4 linked regions of the Saccharomyces cerevisiae S288C genome follow. Each later gene encodes a partner of the first gene's protein in a complex. Each region holds a gene or a part of one and is shown in the gene's direction. Other genes may lie near its edges. The genes, in order: SPT14, ERI1, GPI15 and GPI19.

Region 1 (3,799 bases):
AGATCTACTAGTAGCGGATGACATTGTATCTCTAAATTGTTACTATCATCCCATATACCGATTTGGCCGACGTCGATAATGGTGTATATTTCACTCTTCAATGCCTCTGTTCTCTTTTCCATCAGCTCCGTGGCTCCCGCTTCATTAAATTCAGAGCCCCCAAAGGAAATGAAATATATATTTCTTAGAGGCTTCCAGTCAAATTTGTAAACCATTTCTTGATATAATTGGATCAGAGACAGCAAAACGACGGTTCCAAAAGAAGGATACATAGTGCCATAACTAGCAGAGTTCCTCGGTGCAGCAATAACAATTGCCCTGCCCGCTTGTTCCGATCCTTCAATTTTACCAACTATATCGTGAACCGGGTGGCGTTCCCTAATTGCTGTTTGCACTAGTAGGTCAAGTCGACAATCGTTAAGCGACCCACTGAATAAATTATTAGAAAACTTTACGCCAGTGTCTGATAATATAGCTAGTATTTTATCTCCTTGATTGGCAGATATCGGTATGGATGGAATTTTGGGTAGGCACTTGGCTTCCGTAGCATCGATAGGATCTCTTATTGATCCTTCCCATTCAGGCGTAAGTGCATCACCAGTACCATACTGCGGCAACGCAACTGACTTCATTTGTATCACGTCTTTGTTGTCTTGATAAGGCTCAGAAATAAAGATAATTGCTTTCGCACCATATTCTTGAGCAGTCAACATTTGTTGGAAAACATAATCTCCGTAATGCACTAGTAAAATAAAGTCACCGTTTAAAAGCCCTTGATCTTGCATAGAAGCCATATCGTCCAACGATGCTTTATTAGCATAAATCACCGGTATGTTGTTCAATTGACCATTATGGCTCATTGGGTTAAAGTTCTCCTCATTTAAGGGAATATCAAACCCTTCTGTATCATCCTTTGAATATACACGAAGTGAGACATTTCCTGGGTAATTCGAATACGCCATGAACTCCTCTTCCCCAGCTAGCCTTATACCATTTTTGTCGAACGACTCTTTAATATAATGTCTAATAGCGGCATCACCACTTGTTCCTGACATGTGGGGCATACTACTAATATACTCTAAATCTCTTTCTATCTTTGAAAGGTCTATCGATTTCCGAGCATACTGTAAAAGGAGATCATGGTCCGAGAATGATCCATTTGAACCTCGAGCTTTTCCATTCGGTAACCTATCACTCGCAATAATCAACGCTGCAATGATAGACATCATCATGATGTAAAATATTCTCCTCATTACCATAACATTACCTATTTTACTTAAGAACAAATCGAATTTCTCAGAGGCCAGGGAAATCATTTGTGCTAGCGGATCCACTACATTTTTCTTTACTGGAATCACCACGTTATTTTCAAAACACATACGAAATCGCTGGACTTTCTCACTAAAGGCTTCCGGAGCCTGCGGTTCTTCCATCCCCATCTCTTCCACATATACCGGGGGTTCTGATGGCATTCCTATAGCTTGCTCAAAGTCCTGCGAGTTTAGCTCATCTTGTGAGTTATTTGCTGGTTCTTCAACATTCGGAAGAGTAGTGTAGCCCCTAGTATTCACCATATCCTTTGTATACTCATATGCGAACTTGTCTAATACAATGTATACCAAAAATAACAGCTTGAAAAAAATCTCAGGGTCTTTTCATTGAATAATCTCATTCTGCTATTTTAAGTTTTTCGTTTGCAACCCGAGACTGTCGAGCTAGAAAATTTCATTGATACGATTTAAAAATAATCGATGCCAGTAATAGCCTCAAAAAACTTATGCAAAAATACGAGATACTATAAACTACAGCTTAGCTAACTCTAACATTATTATATAAAACAATGGGCTTCAATATAGCGTATGTCTAGCTCACAGCATGTGTTCCAAATACATTAAAGAAGATCTCTTTTGTTGTTGATACTAACCAGTAAAGTTGAGAGTTATAACAATGAAAATAGGATGCTGTGCGACTTTTTTTATCCACAGTTAGGTGGAGTCGAATTCCATATATATCATTTATCGCAGAAACTAATCGATTTGGGCCATTCTGTCGTCATTATAACTCACGCTTACAAAGATCGAGTCGGCGTACGACATCTTACCAACGGTCTAAAGGTCTATCACGTACCATTTTTTGTGATTTTCAGAGAAACCACTTTCCCCACTGTTTTTTCAACATTTCCAATAATAAGGAATATTCTTCTCAGAGAGCAGATCCAAATTGTTCATTCTCATGGTAGCGCTTCCACGTTCGCTCACGAGGGAATTCTTCATGCTAATACTATGGGATTGAGAACTGTGTTCACGGACCATTCACTCTACGGTTTTAATAACTTAACGTCGATTTGGGTGAATAAGTTGCTAACATTTACCTTGACAAACATAGATCGGGTTATATGTGTTTCTAATACATGCAAAGAAAATATGATTGTTAGAACAGAATTAAGTCCTGATATAATCTCAGTAATTCCCAACGCAGTGGTGAGCGAAGATTTCAAACCAAGGGATCCTACTGGTGGCACCAAGAGAAAACAAAGTAGGGATAAGATAGTGATCGTGGTCATCGGAAGGCTCTTTCCAAACAAAGGGTCCGATTTACTTACTCGCATAATTCCGAAAGTTTGTTCCTCACATGAAGATGTCGAATTTATAGTAGCGGGCGATGGTCCAAAGTTCATAGATTTTCAACAAATGATTGAAAGTCATAGACTACAAAAACGTGTGCAACTCTTAGGCTCTGTTCCACATGAGAAAGTCAGGGATGTATTATGTCAAGGTGACATATATTTACACGCTAGTTTAACAGAAGCATTTGGTACAATTCTAGTTGAGGCCGCATCTTGTAATTTGCTAATTGTAACGACACAAGTCGGAGGAATTCCCGAAGTGTTACCAAATGAGATGACTGTTTATGCAGAACAGACATCCGTTTCTGACCTTGTTCAAGCAACAAATAAAGCTATCAATATCATAAGAAGTAAAGCTTTGGACACTTCCTCTTTTCATGATAGCGTGTCTAAAATGTACGACTGGATGGACGTAGCCAAAAGGACAGTAGAGATATATACTAATATATCTTCTACTTCTTCCGCTGATGATAAAGATTGGATGAAAATGGTAGCAAATCTTTACAAAAGAGATGGAATCTGGGCTAAACATCTTTATCTGTTATGTGGAATTGTAGAGTACATGCTTTTTTTCCTCTTAGAGTGGCTATACCCCAGGGATGAAATCGATCTAGCTCCAAAATGGCCCAAGAAAACAGTGTCTAACGAGACGAAGGAAGCAAGAGAAACTTAAACTTTACACAAAACAAAGGAATGTTGTATCCATTTATTTACTGTATTTGAATGTTATAGACCTGCTAGAATCACTCAGTCATTTGTAATATGTAACAACATTTTGAGATTTGAGTCGTATATTTTTCCTCTTGCGCTTTAAATACGAAATGTAAGAATGATCTCTTTCATGCCAGAGTTCATCTTCTGCCAAAGGTTGATCAAGCTTTAAATCTAAAATCCGTGAGGTACTCACGAAGTTGAACATTTCTATCCCCAAGGTGTCCAAACTGTGGTTGATATGTTCTTTGAATGGTTGCTTATTTTCCACAGCTGGAAGCTCGTCTAACCAGCTGAAATCGATGCTCACTCGTTTCTGCTCTTTTATTTGTCGTCTTATGGTTTCTCTCAATTCCATGATTTCCGAAACTAAATTTACTCTATCTACTTTCTCTCTGTCTAAATAAATTTTGTTCAACGTATTATTATCCTTTATTTGATATAGTTTGAGCTCCATATTCT
Region 2 (2,249 bases), 150 kb from region 1:
TCCCAACTTTAATAATCAACGCAACGGATGATCCAGTTACAGGTGAAAACGTAATTCCGTACAAACAAGCTAGAGAAAATCCTTGTGTGTTGTTATGCGAGACTGACTTGGGTGGACATTTGGCTTATCTCGACAATGAAAGTAATTCCTGGTTAACAAAGCAAGCTGCCGAGTTCTTGGGCAGCTTTGATGAGTTAGTTTTATAAATATGTTCTTAGATAAAATTCCTTACACATAATAATCTGTTCTTTTATTTCTCTATTTACCATCCTCCCCACGCTGTGCTTTCCAATCCGCCGATCCACTTTCTCTACCACGATTAGATGATTTCGAAGCGGCACTGACGCTTTCGGATTTCGTTTCTTGTGTCTTTCCTCTAATCAGCTCTATCTGTTCCTGCTCATCGCGACATGCAAGTTGGTATATCTCGTCATCATTTAACGAATACCTCAACCTCTTCGTTATAAATTGACAAAGGAATTTTAAATCTTCTTCCTTGATTTGATCTCTGGGCAGCTCGTTTTGGAGGATATAGCGTTTACTAACGTCAACAACGCCATCTTTACCGAACGCAATACAGTAACTCATTTTCTTGTTCCAGTTAATTGAATAGATATATGGTTGGTCGAATGATTGCTCACAGGAGTCGACATGAACCCACCTATTCAAAAAATTTGAAAAATATTCACACCAAACATGATCTTCTCTATTCCAGACGTAGCGAACATCTAACCCAAACGACTTCAAAATCAAAGTAAATAAATTGCACCATTCACCGCATCTTCCCTTTCTAGTTTCCAGCAACTTAATTGGATCGTTATAACGAGGAAATCTAGTGATATTTCCGCATCGGTTGCATTTATAGATCTCAACAGTTCCGCAATTGAATTTAGATTCCTCTCCATTGGGCCCTTGACTGCCCAGAGGTGTCATATTTTCTGAAGTGTTCTGGCCACAATGATTACAATCTGGTTTATTGCACCATTTGAAAAAATCTTGTTTGAAGTAGCGAAGCAGCTCCTTTACTAGATAATCCGTGTATATATTTTCCCCCTCTGCATGCCCATCTTTGGCAAATTCCTTATCAACATTTTTATATATTAGATCCAGATCCAATGTCTCCAGGACTATAGAATGCCATGAAGGATTGTCATAGACTGTACAGAGATGTTGACTCTGACCTAGGACTCCTTGTGCGAATTGATTTGTATGGACTAAATTCTGAAACCTTATATTCTCTACAGGTGCAGCTTTCTTGAATTTAGACAGTATGAAATCCTTATACTTAATTAACAACATTTTGGCTATTGAATCAAAATCTATGTTATTTTTTTCGTATACCTCTCCCATTGCTACTCCACCTGTTACCTTCTTCAGGTTGTTTTACGTCTTCTATATCTGTTCCCAACGCATCCTTTTTTCTTCGCTACAATACAAGGAAGATTACACTACGCAAAGTTTCGAAAACATCAAGAAGCATAGAACAGTTGAAACTAGGCAACAGGACTGTTTCAATTACATGATTGAGAATTTATAAGCGCATGAGACCACGTGACCAAGGCTTTTTGGTTTTAGGGTTTACTTACTCGGTACTCCTAATTAGTCTTGCTACATTTTACTGGTTACGCAACAATGACTCTTTCCTGCACTACTGGTGTGTATTACTGCTATGCCCTGCGACTCTCTGGCTGTGGGCCCTCATAGCCTGGTGTGACAGTGAAATGTTCGCAAGTAGTAAAGATGAATAATCGTTTATAATCTTATTTACAAGTCAGTGCATAAAATGATATAATATCACCTCACGCATGCCTATTTTATACATGTACTTTATATACCTCCCTTTTTTTTAACGCATTTCTATTATAAAACACTTCTGCTTTCCTATCCTCAAGATCAGTACTCGATCATCTATCAGGAAAGGAGCCAAGTTAGAAATATTTTCGTTTACTTTAGATTTTGAATGATGCAGATACACGCTTCCCTGGGAAAGTTTTCTTCTGGCTTCTGATACTGAACAATTTACTAGTTTACAAATTAACTTTATTAAGTCAATCTCTCTATCAGCATACTGCAAAATTCTGGCTTTTTTACATAGATCAACTAACTTCGCAGCAGATAAAGTTCCGTCATAACGTCCAAAAATAATATTAGAAAGCGCTTCTGAATCCGATCCGGAGCCAACTCCATATAACATATCTGTGACTTCTTTAGCCAATAAAGTTTGGCCATAACGTAGACTGGGTGATTTG
Region 3 (3,046 bases), on another chromosome or scaffold:
AGAAACCTTCGCTAGTTGGAGAACGCTCTTTAGAAGGCTTTACCTTAACCGGCACTAATGGACATGATAATGAAATAGGTGATGAGGGCCCCATTGACGCCTCGACCCAGAACCCCAAAGCAGACGTTATAGAAGATAATGTGACTCTAAAACCGGCACCCTTGCAAACCCACCGAGACCAGAAGGTACCGAGATCCAGCAGATTAGCTTCACTGAGTAAGGACAACGAAAGTCGTCCAAGTTTTAAACCGTCATTTCTCGATTCTTCCAGTAACAGTAATGGGACTGCGCGACGTTTATCTACAATCTCCAATAAGCTTCCTAAAAAGATAAGGCTTGGAAGCATTACAGAAAACGATATGAATCTGAAAACTTTCAAAAGACATAGGGTTTTGGGCAAACCTTCTTCGGCTAAGAAACCAGCAGGTGCACACAGAATCAGTATTGTCTCCAAAATTTCTCCACCTACGGCAATGACCGATTCTTTGGACAGGAATGAATTTTCGTCAGAAACTTCTACATCAAGAGAAGCTGATGAGAATGAAAATTATGTGATTAGCAAAGTCAAAGATATCCCGAAAAAAGTGAGAGATGGGGAGTCTGCTAAATATTTTATCGATGAAGAGAATTTTACGATGGCAGAGTTGTGTAAGCCAAACTTTCCTATTGGTCAAATATCTGAAAACTTTGAAAAATCTAAAATGGCAAAAAAGGCAAAATTGGAAAAGAGAAGGCATCTTAGAGAACTCAGAATGCGCGCACGACAAGAATTTAAACCACTACACTCATTGACTAAAGAAGAACAGGAAGAAGAAGAGGAGAAGAGAAAGGAAGAAAGAGATAAACTACTCAACGCTGACATTCCTGAGTCAGACCGCAAAGCACATACGGCGATCCAACTGAAGCTTAACCCTGATGGTACTATGGCAATTGATGAAGAGACTATGGTTGTTGACAGACACAAAAATGCTAGTATCGAAAATGAATATAAAGAAAAAGTTGATGAAAACCCTTTTGCCAATCTTTATAATTACGGGTCGTATGGTAGGGGTTCATACACAGACCCGTGGACTGTGGAAGAAATGATAAAGTTCTACAAGGCGCTTTCTATGTGGGGGACAGATTTCAATTTGATCTCACAATTATACCCTTATAGATCAAGAAAACAAGTGAAGGCCAAATTCGTTAATGAGGAGAAGAAACGTCCAATATTGATTGAATTGGCCCTTCGATCTAAGCTACCGCCTAATTTTGATGAGTATTGCTGCGAAATCAAGAAGAACATTGGTACAGTAGCAGACTTCAACGAGAAACTAATCGAATTACAAAACGAGCACAAACATCATATGAAGGAAATCGAAGAAGCAAAGAATACGGCAAAGGAGGAAGACCAAACTGCACAAAGGCTAAATGATGCTAATTTGAATAAAAAGGGATCTGGTGGTATTATGACAAATGATTTGAAAGTTTATAGAAAAACGGAAGTTGTTCTGGGTACAATTGATGACTTGAAAAGGAAGAAACTCAAAGAAAGGAATAATGATGACAATGAGGATAATGAAGGAAGTGAAGAAGAGCCTGAGATTGATCAATAAGAGACATTTATATGCATACATAATGGATAAATAGCACAACTTTTTGTTGTATTATATCATTTTCTTCAGGTGTACCGCGGCATCAATAAATGAAGCGATGTTCGGAAGAAAAAATTGGCAACGAAAACAGTATTATGAAAGTTACATATGAGGATCGTTCTATAAGCAAAAGAAACAAAAGGATGATATGATTAGTAAAGAGTATGAATTTGGTAAGACTAGTATACTGAATAGAAAGAAGTATACATTAGTTATCGATGAAGACAAGAATGGCAATTTTATAAGATTTACCGTTTTACCTGTATCTAACCGAAAGTTCAAAAAAGTCAAGCAAAATGGGAGGGTAGAGATTAACATGGGCATACAATATCACCAAATTGTACTTATTTTACTACTGAATATTTTGTTCTATGTAATTTGCCTAAGATCAAGATTTCTCGAACATATTAATAGAACTTTTGAAGTGACAATCGCGCGAAGTTTCCAGATCTTAATTATAATGGGATTGTTTGCCTTAGGTACAATTATACTTGTGAGGGGACCTAGTGTGGAAACTGTAACAATTTTCAAAGAAAGTGGACTACAGCTGTCCAGAGTGAAGGGTATGGTTATATTTCCTCAACAATGGAATCGGAAGTTCTTTGAACAAGTAGAGTTTATATCCAATGAAAGAATTATTGATGTAGTGATCAATGAAGGATTCTGTCGGGGATTTCGAGTGATATTCTATCTTGCAGCAATTGTACGTAAATCGTCTACGCTTAAGCTATTATTTCCAGTATGTATTCAAGCGAATTTAAGATTGTTTCTTACTTCAACGATCTGATTAGAAATACTAACACAACAATGCAGTCAAATTTGCCCAGTATCGATGACCAACGTCTAATATACAACATATCTAGAAAATATCTCAGTAAGCAAGAAAAACCCCTGAGCAGACCAAAAGATTGAACATCAAATTATCATTACAGAAAATCTTGAGACATTTTGGTATATACTTATATTTTAGTGTATGTTTATATATAATTATAGATAAGAATTTGAACACACTTAAGTTGCAGAACAAAAAAAAGGGGAATTGTTTTCATTACATGGTAGATAATTTGTTGATGATTTCATTCGTGAAGTCAGTAGTAGAAGAGGAACCACCAATATCTCTAGTGGTATGCTTACCTTCTGCGATCGTTTCATGAACTGCCTTTGAGATTCTAGTAGCATATTCATTCAAACCCAAATGGTTCAACATTAACGTGGAGGAAAGGATCATGGCAGTTGGGTTAGCCACATTTTGGCCTTTAATATCTAAACCAACATGTCTGGAACCTGGTTCGAAGACAGCATAGTCCCTGCCAAAGTTGGCACCTGCCACCAATCCTGGACCACCGATCAAAGCAGCGCCAATGTTGCCTAAGATGGTACCGTACATTGAAGGGGTAACTAGGACATCAAAT
Region 4 (2,773 bases), on another chromosome or scaffold:
AGCAAGTTATCCTTTAAATGCAGAAGCAGGAGGGAATGGCAGCGACTATTTCTCAAACAGATCAAACTCGCATGCATCATCCAGGAAGTCGTCATTTGGCTCCACTGGGAATACAGCTTATAGCACACCACTGCATTCACCTGCGTTAAGAAAAATGAGCTCGAGGGACAACGACGATAGCGGAGACAACGTCAACGGTAGAGGCACCTCACCTATCCCTAATCTAAACATAGACAAGCCTTCGCCGTCAGCGTCGTCAGCGTCAAAAAGAGAATATTTAAGTGCATATCCAACACTAGCTCACAGAGATTCATCATCTTCACTTAGTCCGCGGGGCAAAGGACAACGGTCTTCATCGTCTTCCAGTTCCAGTCAAAGAATATATGTTTCCCCACCATCTCCCACAGGTGATTTCGTACACGGGAGTTGTGCAGACGGTGATAATGGATCTAGGACTAATACTATGGTCGAAATGAAAAGGAAAAAACCAGTTCGTCCAGTGGACATAGATGAAATTATCCAGAGATTACTAGATGCCGGCTATGCCGCAAAGAGGACCAAGAATGTTTGCTTAAAGAATTCCGAGATTATTCAAATTTGCCATAAGGCTCGTGAATTATTCCTTGCCCAACCTGCTCTCTTAGAATTATCTCCCTCGGTAAAAATAGTGGGTGATGTTCACGGCCAATATGCAGATCTTTTGAGACTTTTTACCAAATGCGGTTTCCCCCCCATGGCAAATTACTTATTTTTAGGCGATTACGTAGATCGCGGTAAGCAGTCCCTGGAGACCATTTTACTATTACTATGCTATAAGATTAAATATCCTGAAAATTTCTTCCTCTTAAGAGGCAATCATGAATGTGCCAATGTTACAAGAGTCTACGGGTTTTATGATGAATGTAAACGACGTTGTAATATCAAGATTTGGAAAACCTTTGTTGACACGTTCAACACGCTACCGTTAGCAGCCATCGTCACAGGAAAAATATTTTGTGTTCATGGTGGACTATCACCTGTTCTAAATTCCATGGACGAAATTAGGCACGTTAGTAGGCCCACCGATGTACCCGACTTCGGCTTAATTAATGACCTTTTATGGTCGGATCCTACAGATTCATCGAATGAATGGGAGGATAATGAGCGTGGAGTTAGTTTTTGTTACAATAAAGTGGCTATTAATAAATTTTTAAACAAATTCGGATTCGATTTAGTGTGTAGAGCACATATGGTGGTGGAAGATGGTTATGAATTCTTTAATGACAGAAGCTTAGTTACAGTGTTTTCGGCTCCCAACTATTGTGGTGAATTCGATAACTGGGGTGCTGTCATGACCGTTAGTGAAGGCCTACTCTGTTCTTTTGAGTTGTTGGACCCACTGGACAGTACCGCTTTGAAACAAGTGATGAAAAAAGGCAGGCAAGAACGTAAATTAGCCAATCGCTGAAAAACTAGATATTAATGTTGCAGTTAATAAGCTCATTGAAAACTTTCTTTGGTTGTTCCTCTTCCTTCTTTTTTTCGCCGATAAAGTTGTCGTTATAGTTTCACTTATATCTTACGAGAATCTAAATAAGTAAATATTAATATTATTCAATTTCTCATTTCCTTTCCTCTGGGTTTTTTGAGAGTACGAGTTTTATTGCTCGCTTTTTGTATTTTCACTTTGCCGGCTTTTTCACTATTCCCTATTGTCTTAATAAAGTTCCTGCTTGGGCCCAGTAAACTTTTAAAATTTATGTGCTGAAAGAAAGTTGAAACAATCACAAGAGGAGAGCAGATTTGCCAAAAAAAGAATCTGAGCTGTTTGTTCCTGTCTAATACTAAAAGATATAAATAAACAATATGTATACAAAAGAGTACTACTGGTTTTCACAATATATGATAATAACAAGCACTTTGGTGCTCACCATAATATGGTCCATCTTACCATCATCGCTGGGTGAGGCTGCACCAAAGCAGTTTATCAACACGCTATTGGACATCTTCCCACAAAGAAGATGGATTATTACCTTGGAGAGCATAATGCTGATGGGCATGCTATGCACATACATCGGCCTTCTGATGTACAATGAAGATACATTAACACCGCCGCTAGATTCTCTATCTACAGTAACGGATGCCGGTGGTCAACTTGTAATAGAGGACGACCCGGACGTATTCGTTAAGAAATGGGCCTTTAAAGAAACAAGTGGTATTTACGATCTGTCTCTGATGGATGCCTGCCAACTTCTCTACCTATATGATAACGACCATACCAGCACATAGCTTTTCTCAGCACCTGTCCAGAGACATAACATCACAATCACATCGCCCCAGTAAATGCATACGCAAGATAAGATACAAACTGGCTACGGGAACACTACGCCAACGTGATTGGCAATTGTGCTCTAATAGTTACTCTATTATTGCTGTTAATTGACAATGTTTAGTCACGTGCAACACAATTCAAGTCACGTGGAAAGGCCTTCACATGGTGATCCATCTTCTACATCTTCATCGGTCCTGCATAAAGTCATAATATGGGGCTACTGGAATGTATGCACTTAACAGTACTATTATATGGTGAGGCTGTAATGCTTACCGTTTTGTGGCTATTCTCGTATTCTGTAGGCCCCCCCATACACATTTTTCGGTAACTGCGGCATATAGATGAAAGTTGAAATGAATATTCAAAAGAATATATATAATAATGCAGGAGATCAAGGAAGAATTAGATATGTATAAGAGTGATGGTAGAGGCAAAAAATAAAAAGTAAGCAGGAGAATGAAT

The links.
Region 2: SPT14 (region 1) and ERI1 share a complex: the UniProt entries of both Saccharomyces cerevisiae proteins name them as parts of the phosphatidylinositol N-acetylglucosaminyltransferase (GPI-GlcNAc transferase) complex.
Region 3: SPT14 (region 1) and GPI15 share a complex: the UniProt entries of both Saccharomyces cerevisiae proteins name them as parts of the phosphatidylinositol N-acetylglucosaminyltransferase (GPI-GlcNAc transferase) complex.
Region 4: SPT14 (region 1) and GPI19 share a complex: the UniProt entries of both Saccharomyces cerevisiae proteins name them as parts of the phosphatidylinositol N-acetylglucosaminyltransferase (GPI-GlcNAc transferase) complex.

The regions. Positions count from the first base shown.
Region 1 is NC_001148.4:216,790-220,588, forward strand, and holds SPT14 (phosphatidylinositol N-acetylglucosaminyltransferase SPT14), read left to right. Parts: upstream 1-1,840; coding exon 1,841-1,857; intron 1,858-1,957; coding exon 1,958-3,299; downstream 3,300-3,799. Other genes in the region: TRE1 (Tre1p), read right to left, coding at 1-1,574; NIP100 (Nip100p), read right to left, coding at 3,378-3,799. UniProt on the Saccharomyces cerevisiae protein: Catalytic subunit in the complex catalyzing the transfer of N-acetylglucosamine from UDP-N-acetylglucosamine to phosphatidylinositol, the first step of GPI biosynthesis.
Region 2 is NC_001148.4:366,028-368,276, reverse strand, and holds ERI1 (Eri1p), read left to right. Parts: upstream 1-1,541; coding exon 1,542-1,748; downstream 1,749-2,249. Other genes in the region: EEB1 (medium-chain fatty acid ethyl ester synthase/esterase), read left to right, coding at 1-206; PNG1 (peptide-N4-(N-acetyl-beta-glucosaminyl)asparagine amidase), read right to left, coding at 259-1,350; tyrosine--tRNA ligase MSY1, read right to left, coding at 1,847-2,249. UniProt on the Saccharomyces cerevisiae protein: Probable component of the GPI-GlcNAc transferase (GPI-GnT) complex in the endoplasmic reticulum, a complex that catalyzes transfer of GlcNAc from UDP-GlcNAc to an acceptor phosphatidylinositol, the first step in the production of GPI-anchors for cell surface proteins.
Region 3 is NC_001146.8:555,238-558,283, forward strand, and holds GPI15 (phosphatidylinositol N-acetylglucosaminyltransferase GPI15), read left to right. Parts: upstream 1-1,782; coding exon 1,783-2,373; intron 2,374-2,447; coding exon 2,448-2,546; downstream 2,547-3,046. Other genes in the region: transcription factor TFIIIB subunit BDP1, read left to right, coding at 1-1,595; isocitrate dehydrogenase (NAD(+)) IDH1, read right to left, coding at 2,683-3,046. UniProt on the Saccharomyces cerevisiae protein: Part of the complex catalyzing the transfer of N-acetylglucosamine from UDP-N-acetylglucosamine to phosphatidylinositol, the first step of GPI biosynthesis.
Region 4 is NC_001136.10:1,335,507-1,338,279, forward strand, and holds GPI19 (phosphatidylinositol N-acetylglucosaminyltransferase GPI19), read left to right. Parts: upstream 1-1,845; coding exon 1,846-2,268; downstream 2,269-2,773. Other genes in the region: PPZ2 (salt homeostasis regulator), read left to right, coding at 1-1,447; THI74 (Thi74p), read left to right, coding at 2,768-2,773. UniProt on the Saccharomyces cerevisiae protein: Part of the complex catalyzing the transfer of N-acetylglucosamine from UDP-N-acetylglucosamine to phosphatidylinositol, the first step of GPI biosynthesis. Involved in cell wall biosynthesis.